Drosophila melanogaster: one gene and its partner. The protein of the gene in region 1 purifies or fractionates together with the protein of each later gene. This does not show direct contact. Each region holds a gene or a part of one and is shown in the gene's direction. Other genes may lie near its edges. The genes, in order: Sym and FLASH.

Region 1 (6,414 bases):
GTTTTCCAGGCTAAAGATTGTGCGCTGGATGGTCTCCTCGTTGATGGCAGTTGACTCGCTGTTACTGGGCTGGATTTCCAGGGCGGCCATCTCCAGGGCACACATCCCGAAGGCGTAGATGTCGAGGGCGGCGGTCAACTGGTCGGCGGCGCCGTACTCGGGCGCCTGGAAGTAGTGGGCGCCTCGTTCGCGTTCACGCTCCCGCTCTCGGCCGCGCCGGACGCTGTAGTGGACCGCGTCCGGGACCACCGAGCCGATCTTGACCAGGCCGTTGTGCTGGATGAAGATGCTATCACAGGTTAAATTGCCGTGGATGATGGGCGGCGAGCAGGAATGCAAATAGCTGAGTGCGGACAAAATCTGAGTGCACCACCGGCGCCACGACTCCAGCGGTAGCCGCTTGGCGTTGCGCTTGGTGCGCTTGAGGAACTGTTTCAGCGATCCGCTCGACATGTACTCGGTGATAAAGACCACCCTGGGTCGCTCGGCCTGCTGCGTGTCCGTCCAGTAGCGGTGGAACTTGACAATGTTTTGGTGGTCCAGCTGCAGCAGATTGTCGAACACCTGCCGCATCTTCTCCTCCTGCGACTTCAGCTCCTGTAGGCTGGCATATTGCACCTCATTCCACACGACCTCTACGCCCTCCTCGGTGTCCATGGCCAGATGGACGCAGTCAATACCGGGTACGTCACGCTGATCCACCTCCTCGCGTCGCTTCAGCCAGCGTCCACATGGCGACTCCTCCAAAATCTCGCTCTCATCCTCCGAATCGTCCCCGGACTCGCGTGGCGACGAGTCCAGATTGACGCCCTCGCTGCCAGCTACGACGCCGACGCCGACCGCAGCGCTGCTGCCCGCATCAGCTGTTGAGGCACTAACTATGTGCGGCGGGGGCTGCTGCGTCGACTGCGACGGCGGGGTCGCTGCTGGGCAGGATGCACTTACGGGGCCGGCCGCCAAGGAAGGGTGGTGCTGGATGGGTTCATCCGCTACCGTGCTACCGCTGATGCCGGCATTCGCTTGGCTATTTGACATTAGGGTGCGGTCACCGACGCGGCTGCGGCTGTTGAGCAGTGCTGTTCCAGTTCCAGAAGGCCTCGTCGTCTTCGGTTTCCAGTGTTTATTTTCTTTGTTGGACTGCCTACGTTTGCGCTAGCTTTTCGTGGTATCCACTACGGGGTCCGGGCAACGAGCTACATCCGCCGCTGCTCCTCTGCCGCTGCCTCTGCCCCACTCACTGGCGCACACATACACACGCACGCGCCCACACAGCTCATCCACTGCACCCCTCGCCCAGTAAACACTCCGCTGCGACGGCTGGCGGTTGCTGGGACGTTTTTCGGCACCTTCGACGGCGTCTTCTGTTCCAATCCTCGACTGCGTCGCGAACTGCGATCCGTTTGTTGCACTTTCTGGCCTGACACGCTGCCGATTCGTTTATTTAGGCGTTTTTTTCACGCTAAAACACCCAAGAAATGTGAGCAAATCGATGCCTCTGGCTTATCGATAGTCACCCCCGCATATCGCTCGGCCAGCGCAACTGCGGCATGCTCATCGATAATAACGCGTTAAGCTGAGATATGCCAAAAATGGCTTAATTTATGTGATTTATTAATTTTTTATACGGTAACGAGCAAGGAAAATTAGTTTGCAGGCGGTTCATTTGATTATAAGCCAAGTTTTTAGTAAAATATTCTTTTTCTTTTGAACACATTAAGAGCTGGCAAAAAATAGCTAGATGGTCCGGAAATATGCAGAATTACCAACATCATAGAACCGTTTTCGATAGTTTCTCAATGGTACCGATAACACCTTGCCATCCGTGCCGGCAGCTCTTAAAAATATCCGAAGTATCGCAGATTTAGGCAAAATCTGCATCAATTAACCAAACATGGATAGCATAATTGGACGCAGCCAGTTTGTCTCGGAGACGGCCAATCTGTTCACAGACGAGAAGACAGCTACGGCAAGAGCTAAGGTAGAACACAAATCTTAATCAGACAAGACAGTCCGGACTGCTGTATTGTACCATATATTTTCCCATTCAGGTGGTCGATTGGTGCAATGAGCTGGTCATCGCATCGCCTTCGACAAAGTGCGAACTGCTGGCTAAGGTGCAGGAGACTGTGCTTGGATCGTGCGCGGAGCTGGCCGAAGAATTCCTGGAGTCCGTGCTGTCTTTGGCCCACGACTCAAACATGGAGGTTCGCAAGCAGGTAGTCGCCTTCGTAGAGCAAGTTTGGTAAGGATTTCCATCAAAGGATCTAACTTCTTGCTGAAACGATTTATATTTTCCATCCCAGTAAAGTGAAGGTGGAGTTACTGCCCCATGTCATTAACGTCGTGTCTATGCTGCTTAGGGATAACTCGGCTCAGGTAATCAAAAGAGTGATCCAAGCCTGCGGTAGCATCTACAAGAATGGATTGCAGTACTTGTGCAGCCTCATGGAGCCCGGCGACAGTGCGGAGCAGGCGTGGAACATCCTCAGCTTAATCAAGGCGCAAATACTGGACATGATCGACAATGAAAACGACGGCATACGTACAAATGCCATTAAGTTCTTGGAGGGCGTCGTGGTTCTGCAGAGCTTTGCTGACGAGGACAGTCTGAAACGAGATGGAGACTTCTCGCTGGCAGATGTCCCCGATCACTGCACACTATTCCGCCGTGAAAAGTTGCAAGAGGAGGGCAACAATATTTTAGATATCTTGCTTCAGTTCCACGGAACAACGCATATTTCCTCAGTGAACTTGATTGCCTGCACAAGCAGCTTGTGTACAATTGCCAAAATGCGACCCATTTTCATGGGCGCCGTGGTGGAAGCCTTTAAGCAGCTGAATGCCAACCTGCCGCCCACCCTCACTGACTCGCAAGTAAGCTCCGTGCGTAAGAGCCTTAAGATGCAGTTGCAGACATTGCTGAAGAACCGCGGTGCCTTTGAGTTTGCAAGCACTATCCGAGGAATGTTAGTTGATCTGGGGTCCTCCACAAATGAGATCCAGAAGCTTATTCCCAAAATGGACAAACAGGAAATGGCTCGTAGACAAAAACGCATCCTCGAAAATGCTGCGCAAAGTCTTGCAAAGCGTGCGCGCTTGGCCTGTGAGCAGCAGGATCAGCAGCAGCGAGAAATGGAGCTAGACACTGAGGAATTGGAACGACAGAAACAGAAGTCTACTCGAGTTAACGAAAAGTTTCTGGCAGAGCATTTCCGTAATCCTGAAACTGTTGTGACCCTGGTGCTGGAGTTCCTGCCCAGTCTGCCCACTGAGGTGCCACAAAAGTTCCTTCAGGAATATACACCCATTCGCGAAATGTCTATTCAGCAGCAGGTAACCAATATCTCCAGATTTTTTGGCGAACAACTATCTGAAAAGCGCCTAGGCCCAGGTGCCGCAACCTTCAGTCGAGAGCCGCCAATGCGGGTTAAGAAAGTGCAAGCGATTGAATCAACACTAACTGCAATGGAAGTGGACGAGGATGCTGTTCAAAAACTGAGTGAGGAAGAGTTTCAGCGTAAGGAGGAAGCAACCAAGAAGCTGCGCGAGACCATGGAGCGCGCCAAGGGTGAGCAGACTGTTATTGAAAAGATGAAGGAGCGCGCCAAGACGCTGAAGCTGCAGGAGATCACCAAGCCTCTGCCACGCAACTTAAAAGAGAAGTTCCTAACTGATGCAGTGCGTCGCATCCTCAACTCGGAGCGGCAATGCATTAAGGGAGGAGTGTCATCAAAGCGCCGTAAGCTGGTCACCGTGATTGCTGCCACCTTTCCCGATAACGTACGTTACGGCATCATGGAGTTCATCCTGGAGGATATAAAACAGCGTATCGATTTGGCATTTTCCTGGCTCTTTGAGGAGTACTCTCTGCTGCAAGGATTTACAAGGCACACTTATGTTAAGACAGAGAACAGACCCGATCACGCCTACAACGAGTTGCTGAATAAGCTTATCTTCGGCATTGGAGAGCGTTGCGATCACAAGGATAAGATTATTTTGATTCGTCGAGTATATCTAGAAGCACCCATTCTTCCGGAAGTCTCAATTGGACATCTAGTTCAATTAAGCCTGGACGACGAGTTCTCCCAGCACGGCCTGGAGCTAATCAAGGACCTTGCAGTGCTTAGGCCGCCGCGAAAGAATCGTTTCGTTAGAGTGTTGCTCAACTTTTCTGTGCATGAGCGACTGGATCTGCGGGATCTGGCACAGGCCCACCTGGTCAGTCTGTACCATGTACACAAAATACTACCGGCTCGAATAGACGAATTCGCTCTGGAGTGGCTTAAATTTATCGAACAGGAATCTCCGCCGGCAGCTGTTTTCTCGCAGGACTTTGGTCGACCAACCGAGGAGCCTGATTGGCGGGAAGACACTACCAAGGTGTGCTTTGGTTTGGCCTTTACCCTGCTGCCCTATAAACCGGAAGGTAAGTTGTTGCTGTCCCGTATTAAAGAAGAAAAAAACTATTAAATCAATTTCTTAATATTCTCTTCCCCTGATAGTTTACTTACAGCAAATTTGTCAAGTGTTTGTTTCTACATCTGCCGAACTGAAACGCACGATCTTGCGCAGTCTAGATATTCCCATAAAAAAGATGGGTGTAGAAAGCCCGACGTTGCTGCAACTAATCGAGGATTGTCCTAAGGGTATGGAGACCTTAGTGATCCGTATAATTTACATACTGACAGAGCGAGTGCCATCCCCCCATGAAGAATTGGTTCGGCGGGTTCGGGATCTCTACCAGAACAAGGTCAAGGATGTGCGCGTGATGATACCCGTGCTAAGTGGCTTAACCCGATCCGAGCTAATTTCCGTTCTGCCGAAGCTGATTAAACTTAATCCCGCTGTGGTCAAGGAGGTTTTCAATCGATTGCTTGGTATCGGTGCCGAATTCGCGCATCAGACGATGGCCATGACCCCCACTGATATTCTCGTGGCTTTGCACACCATCGATACGAGTGTCTGCGATATTAAAGCCATCGTTAAGGCTACATCCCTATGTTTGGCTGAAAGAGATCTGTACACACAGGAGGTACTTATGGCTGTGCTGCAACAGCTTGTAGAGGTTACTCCGCTGCCTACTCTGATGATGCGCACAACAATTCAGAGTCTAACTCTGTACCCGCGTCTGGCAAACTTTGTAATGAACTTGTTGCAGCGTCTGATAATCAAGCAGGTCTGGCGGCAAAAAGTAATCTGGGAGGGCTTTTTAAAGACCGTGCAGCGCCTGAAACCGCAGTCAATGCCGATCCTGCTGCACCTTCCTCCCGCCCAGCTGGTGGACGCACTGCAGCAGTGCCCCGATTTAAGGCCAGCATTGTCGGAATACGCGGAGAGCATGCAGGATGAACCAATGAATGGTAGTGGTATAACCCAGCAGGTTCTGGACATCATCTCCGGGAAATCAGTTGATGTGTTCGTGACGGTAACTATGCATTTTTTGATTTAGTCTTAAATGAAATAATAGTAACTCAAATACCGAACCAATATCGAAGACGTTCAGCTACTACATACGAGTATCTTCTTTTCAGGACGAAAGCGGCGGTTACATCAGTGCCGAGCATATTAAAAAAGAGGCACCGGATCCATCAGAAATTAGTGTCATTTCCACAGTGCCCGTACTGACGTCTCTAGTACCACTACCAGTTCCTCCCCCCATAGGCAGTGATCTTAACCAGCCCCTGCCGCCTGGCGAGGACTAGTTGCAGTTTAATTGTTTTGTTTGCTCATACACATTTTTAAATTACTTAATAAGATAAGGTCTATAATTTTATAAACTCACTGTTCTAGGCGATAATACATAAAACCAAGGTCTTGACCGCACCCACATACATTATAAAGGAATATAATTTTGTTTGTTAATGATCAAAAGATTGGGAGTATACCCCACGCAAATAACACAAAAATTTCGATTCTGAGTGGCCACGACCATTTACGGATCAGTTCATTGCGAGCACTGTCATCGGCGTAATACAAGTGTTTCAATAATTTCAGTACCTTTAAAATACCTTTGAAAGTACGAAATATTTAATTAGAACATTGTACATAATTACAAACAGATGTTTTTAAAAAGATGTGGAAAAAATTCATTGTACGCTGAGATTACACGGCTTACAGCTCTACTTCGGCTACCATTTTATCGCCAGCTAAGGCAGCAAGAATATTTCTGGCTGTAATCCGGGACATTTCCTTGCGCGTTTCGATGTCAGCGCTGCCAATGTGGGGGAGAATAACCACATTATCCAGTTTCAGAAGAGGATCGTCGATTGGCAATGGCTCCGGCGTCGTTACATCCAGACCAGCTGCTAGAATTCGTTTGGTTTTCAGTGCCTCGTACAGGGCCTTCTGGTCTACAACGCCACCACGCGCCGTGTTGATAAGAATGCAGTTGGGCTTCATCTTCTGAAAGGCAGT
Region 2 (6,171 bases), on another chromosome or scaffold:
CTCGTCCGGGGTGTCGCGCTCTGCCTGCCCCACCACAAAGTCCACCAGTTGCTCCAGAGTGCGGGCATAGCTGCGGTGCTGCAGGTCGGCAATGTGATCGTTTATCTGATTCCAGGCCTTGCGATATTCCTCATAGAAGGGCTGCTGCACTACCTCTTTGCCAAGAAGACTACTGGATTCTGCGGCAGGACGCTTCCGTTTGCTGGCCGCCTTTTTCCCTGCTCTCGTAGCGCCATTTTTGTAGACAAAACAGCCCTGCAGACAACAAAAATAAGTAGTTAAACATCTATGTCCAGTTTGGAAGCCGAAGCCACTCACCTTGGACACTGAAATGGTGGGATCCATCGCTGGCTTTGCACTGCGGCCCGATGTCGTGGAGTCTTTAAGTCGCCGGGTTGCGTTTATTTATTTATTTGTTTAGGTCAGCTCTGTGCCAATTAAAGTTTCTTCACCGGTAGGAACGCGAAATGAAATCAGCTGGCTGTTGTGTTTGGCGCCAAACGGGCGGCAGTGTTGGCTAACGACTTTAGGGGGTATCTTTGAAAACAAGTGTGAAAAGTATAAATTAATTGAATATTTCATCTAACATGAACTAATAATAAGAAATCATACCCTTCGTGCTCGTACGCCACCATTTTGGTGGATACGAATTCGTCGTAGTTTCTGTGAACAGCACCAAGTTTTTTGAACGTTCGCCATCGCAACGATCCGACCATTTTGGGGCCACTTGGAATGAGAAAAGATAGAGGAGCAGGAAATCGAGGAACAGTATGATGGCTGCCAGGAAGTAGTCCTTCGTGCGCATCTCGGCGAACCTTCCACCGTTTATAATCTGCGCGTGATACATGACAAACTGTAAGGAGGAAACTAAATGACAGAAACTAATTCAAAAATGTATGACTCAGTACTAACCATCAAGATGCTGATCACTATAAAGCAACGGGCGATTATAAACGAGTATGCGACATTAGCCACGATGTAGAGCATCACGAAGTATATGGCGCCGATAATGGAAACCACTGCAAGCACAAATAGCACCACAACATCCAAAGTAAGATCCAGCTTAAGGGGATAACAATAAAAATGTGAAGCTTCAGATTTGAATCAAATGGCTTTCATGTGGACTCTTCTTACCGGAAGAAAGGAACCACAGACAATAAAAAGCGCCAATGCTACGGTCCATATAAGGAAGCTGAAGAGAAACTGATACTTGTAGTGGCGGGCAACCAGCGGTGCAATCCCCAGTACAATGCATTCAAACTGGAAAGAATAAGTTCATACTGCCACCCAGGTTATGTTTCACATTGTAGACTTACAATTAGAAAGGCAAACAACCAGTTTACCATTTTATTAAAGCGCAGTACCTCGAAAAATATGAAAAGTACGAGGAGTATCAGGCCTATTCCAAAAAAAAGGCAGCTCAACCAATGGTACGAAGTAAAAAATTCCCTTAGAAAATTTCTGAAAATTAAGAAAAAGTGCAGTGAGGATGAAGTAATGTGAAAATACATACGTACACAAAGCGGAAAGTGGCCCATTGCAACAGCGCAAGGATCAGGAATATCGCGGTTAGTAGGTAAGTGATCAGAGCGAACTTTCTTCTTTCCTTCTTGTAGTAAGAACTTTTTTCCGGAATGTCTGCCATTGTGTAGTGTTTCTCGAGTATTATTGTTTGTATTGTGATGTTTTTTTTTAACGAATTTAAGTGTACAGTAATACGAAATGGGAACTAGATTGATTTTAAAATTATATTCTTGGGAAAACACGTAAGTGCATAATAAAATTTTTAAAATATTCGTTTTGGCGCCAAATGTTGCTGCTGGATATCGATATCCACTATCAGGGTTGCCACATTTTCAGCCGGTCAGCTGTTGCTTCCGATAATCAACTGCATCTTCTGTTATCGATTGGCGGCAACACGGGATTTTCTAACAATATTAAATAGAATAATAATAATAATTACATTTATACAAATACACGGCAGGGAAACAAATTGCACGCCAGTTTGGAGGAAATGCTCAGGACAGTGACCATTGAGCTTTAGTGGAACTTTTATTCCCTGAAACAAAAATCAAGAACATTGAAATTCTTTTGTGTTTCGAATTTTGATCAATTTATGACTGAACAGGTAATCAATAAAGTAGCTCCATTAAAAAACAGTAACTCTAACAATTCATTTTATGTATCCTTGTTTAAAGGGCAGCCAAGAAGAAACGTAAGCGATTGGTATGGAAACGCCTGCATATGCCACGAAATCTGGCGGAGAACTGGTGCTGCCCGAAGCTCTGGAGGACTTGATGGATTTGGAAGACCAGGACGCGGGCGGGATGAAGTCCAACGTTAAGGATAAATCCATGGATTTGGATATCTATCACGATTTGTACGATATAGAGCCTGCAGGTTCAAAGAAGCCTGACCAAATGGACAGATCCCTTGAACTGGACATCTACGATGATTTGGACGACTTTCAGAAGGCCGAAGATCGTGTAAGTTGTGCAGGAATACGTCCTTTCAGCAGAGTTACCCATTTACCATCTCACAGAATACCAAGGAGCTACAGGCATGGGAAGCCAAATACGAAAAGGCACTGGCCGAAATTGAAGCGCTAAAGGTTGAGAATAAGGCACTTGGCAAGAAGATAAAAACCATGGAGGTTAATCTACAGAATCTACTGGACACAGCTAAGGCGGAGGTAAAGAGAAAAGAGACACTGATTGCCGAGCTGCGAAACGAGTAAGTTAGCATATTGACTCCCTGCTTCTTAACAAACAACACATTGTTCAACAGAAAGGACGATGTATGCTTCCGACGAAAACGAGCACGGGCGTTTGACGTACCAGGTGCAAGGGAACCCGAAAGTAAGCGTCCGAAAGAATTTCAATCTACACCAATCGATGTCAGGAAATATCCGGAAACGAATAGAAATCCGTTCAAAACGGCTGCAAAGGACGCCGCTAAGGATGATGCTAGGAAGATGATGACCAAAAAAGATGACACAACGAAAGTCGTATCAAAAGATGTTGAAAGAGGCGTAAAATCCAAGGAGGATAATAAGATGGCGACCAATAAAGATGATGACAAGAAGTCATCCTCAAAGGATGATGCTTGGAAATCTAGGACAAGAGAAGACGCCAAGAAATCGGTCCAAAGAAGCAAGTCTCCCAGGCCGGAACACTCAAAGACCACCGATCGGAAATCTACTGCACAGGCTCGTCGTCCAGATCCACATCGCAGCCGGAGTCCAAAACATAATTCCCGGCGAGATCATCACAGGAATCAAGAAAGCAGTTCCCGGCACGCCAAACGGCGAAGCCAATCCGCATCGCCCAGGTCAGTAAAGCAGAGGGACATAAGTTACATTTGTTGATAGCACCATCTGATTTTTGTAGCAAGATACAATTGCCAAGAGAAAAAGCAAATGCCATCATCACACTTACTGACGATGAAACAAATGACCAACGCAGCAAGAGCCCAGTCCCCGTGACCGTCAAACTCGTAACTGAATCTCAACCGGCTGAAAAAGTCGTTTCCAACCGAAGGGATGCTGCTTTAGAAACCAATGCAAATTCCTCAAAGGAATCAAAAGTAGAGACGAAGGATATTACTCAACCGACAAATGGTTTAATTGCTGAACCTTGTATTCCAAAACATGAGATTATTCCGGGGTTAAGCTTAATTAACCCAGAATCGGCGGATTTTTCTAAAAATGAGATCAAGTTAGATCCTGTAATCTTACAGGATCGTACAGAAGACTCTGGCCACCAACTTTTAAATAAGGAGCCTATTCCCAAAGTTGTAGTACTTGAAAAATGTAAAAACATTTTAGCTGAAGATTGCCCAGCTGATGAGCAACCCCTGGACAAATTCAAGGATGGAAAAGAATCTGAAGAGACACAGGCAAAGTTAGACAAAAAAGAGCCTTTTGCAGTTGAAACTGCTGTTGAAACTCCTAGCAAAGAAGAAAGCAACGACAACATAGTATTATCAAAGAATACGACGTCTCAAGCTGATGTGTGTTCTCAGCATGATGAGAATGATGAAGCAGAGATCCGAGAACCGATGGATCAAGTTAACTCCGTGGTCGAGTCCGACTTGGGAGTAAGGATTATTGAGGATATTCGGTTGCCCAAGATGGCGAATATCGACCATTTTGCTGTAAAGGTCGACAACCATGGTGAAGCGCCAGCAGCTGTCACAGATTCCGCTTTAAATCAAGAGAACCTAGCCACACAGGACCAAAAGATTTGCGCAGAGATGAAAGATCCAACTATTTTTACCACCTCGGACGAAACTCCAATAAAGTCTGCTACTATATTATACGCCAAGCCCGATTCAACAAAACTGGATCACAGCGATGAACATGACGAGGTTATCCTGGAAACTGCCATTGACATGCTGAAGAAGGAGCAGGATGCAGCGAGCACCGCAGAATCCACATATCCGAAACTGCGGATCGCAGAAGATGCCATTGAGATGGCACTAGAGCAATTGCACCAGCAGTCGCCGGACGAAACTGTGGTGACCTCAACGTCGAATAGAGCGCCGCAGACGCCAAAAAGCCTCATCACAATACTCACCCAGACTCCAAAACAGGCTGATCCACTAAGATCCCAAACGAAATCGAAGACTGTGTCGCCGATGGCGACGCCTAAGAAGACGGCCACGGAGAAGACCCCAGTGAAGAAGAGAAAGGTCAACATGGATAGTTCGCCGCAGGTGCCAGCCCATGATGTTACCATCGACGAAACTTTGGGTGCCTGCAGTCTGCAGGACGAGAGCTCAACTGTGACCAAACGCTGCTCCCTGGGCCACACAGACTACCAGTACGAACAGATAAAGGACGAGGTCATTTTAAGAGTGAAACGACGGGGTCGCCGACGAAAGCCAACACCTATGGAAATACCTACGACTGCTGCGGACAAACCAATTTGAAATAAAATTGTGTAATCGATTTGAAGTGTCCACTTCGAATTTATTTATATATATTACATTGCTGCACCCAATGATTGGGTGAATAGGTGTTAATTCACGCGATCAGGACTTTCGATCATCTTGAACCATGAGTAGGCAACGATCCAAAAGTAAATGGCTACACCTGTGGGTTTTGAATTATTATTAATAATAAGGTACTTAAAATAAGCAAACTATTCTTAATTCTGGATAGTGTGAAAATATATCAAATATTTTGCAAGCTTTACCAAATCCGCCGATGATAAGGAATAAGGTCAAAATCACAGGGCCAATTGCGACGCAAACATAAATGAAAAACATAAGATCATAAACAATGCGAATTGCGCCTGTTATTAGATAGCCAATGACCAGTTTTTTGGATTTCTGGAAAAGACGAGAGTCTTAATTAATAGATTGCTTCTAACTAGAAATGAATACTTACCACCCAAACAGAGCCAATAACTGAGACACAAAACACTAGGTGGGCAAAGTGGATGACAAGTGTGATGATCCAAACGTAGTAGGTGGAAGTGTAGCTGACCTCAAACGTTCCCATATCATGATCAATCCACCAGTCCTCATAATAGGCTAGATCTGTGCGACACTTTATATTCAAATCGATTGAGATCATATTAAAACACATACACTTAGTTTCCAAAACAACTGCCGCCGTCACAATCATATCTATAAGGGCGATAATCAAGGCTCCCCATCTTAGCTCCCAGCAACAGCACTTCCTAATGGTACACTTCATTCTAATTTAACTTGGTGTCTCGGGATCATTTTCGTATGGGTAATGTTGTCGTCTGAGTGATCTATATGTCCGCTGAGCCTCCAAGCTTCTTGTACCACGAGAAGACAACGATCCACAAGCAGACTGCAATAACTGTGGGTCGCGATAAGAAGTGCGTTAATTTGAAATACTTTAATACATACATTTAATTAGGTATTATATGCATTCAATCGAAATGAAAGTCAGGGCCATCTTGTGTATTTTTTTTGTAAATATATATATGAAACAACTTACTTAGGCCAATAATGATGAAAATCAGTCCCGGGATATCGTGGTCGCCCAATTTAATGCACACGAAAATGAAAAAAATGATATCAATAATTACGCGAATTATTGCGGTTATCAAATAGGGAGCTACGAGATTTTTATTTCGCTAAAAAAAGGGTTTTAAATATACAAGGAAATTACTAACAACAATGACTACTTAC

What was found.
Region 2: the proteins of Sym (region 1) and FLASH purify together in Drosophila melanogaster (affinity purification with western blotting; one study listed by BioGRID). This does not show direct contact.

Annotation. Positions count from the first base shown.
Region 1 is NT_033777.3:5,737,606-5,744,019, reverse strand, and holds Sym (symplekin), read left to right. Parts: upstream 1-1,543; 5' UTR 1,544-1,891; coding exon 1,892-1,978; intron 1,979-2,048; coding exon 2,049-2,242; intron 2,243-2,303; coding exon 2,304-4,426; intron 4,427-4,502; coding exon 4,503-5,425; intron 5,426-5,531; coding exon 5,532-5,702; 3' UTR 5,703-5,842; downstream 5,843-6,414. Other genes in the region: Madm (MLF1-adaptor molecule), read right to left, coding at 1-1,035; CG1236 (uncharacterized protein), read right to left, coding at 6,112-6,414. UniProt on the Drosophila melanogaster protein: Component of a protein complex required for cotranscriptional processing of 3'-ends of polyadenylated and histone pre-mRNA. Involved in germline stem cell transit amplification, differentiation and mitosis-to-meiosis transition.
Region 2 is NT_033778.4:13,204,864-13,211,034, forward strand, and holds FLASH (FLICE-associated huge protein), read left to right. Parts: upstream 1-1,881; 5' UTR 1,882-2,128; intron 2,129-2,198; 5' UTR 2,199-2,228; coding exon 2,229-2,486; intron 2,487-2,542; coding exon 2,543-2,733; intron 2,734-2,787; coding exon 2,788-3,330; intron 3,331-3,389; coding exon 3,390-4,932; 3' UTR 4,933-5,021; coding exon of another isoform or gene 5,022-5,095; 3' UTR 5,096-5,198; coding exon of another isoform or gene 5,199-5,334; 3' UTR 5,335-5,392; coding exon of another isoform or gene 5,393-5,544; 3' UTR 5,545-5,595; downstream 5,596-6,171. Other genes in the region: Orc3 (origin recognition complex subunit 3), read right to left, coding at 1-255, 319-345; CG34315 (uncharacterized protein), read right to left, coding at 527-537, 613-853, 913-1,062, 1,135-1,260, 1,317-1,461, 1,518-1,645; CG34312 (uncharacterized protein), read right to left, coding at 5,022-5,095, 5,199-5,334, 5,393-5,544, 5,596-5,704; CG30058 (uncharacterized protein), read right to left, coding at 5,766-5,836, 5,978-6,116.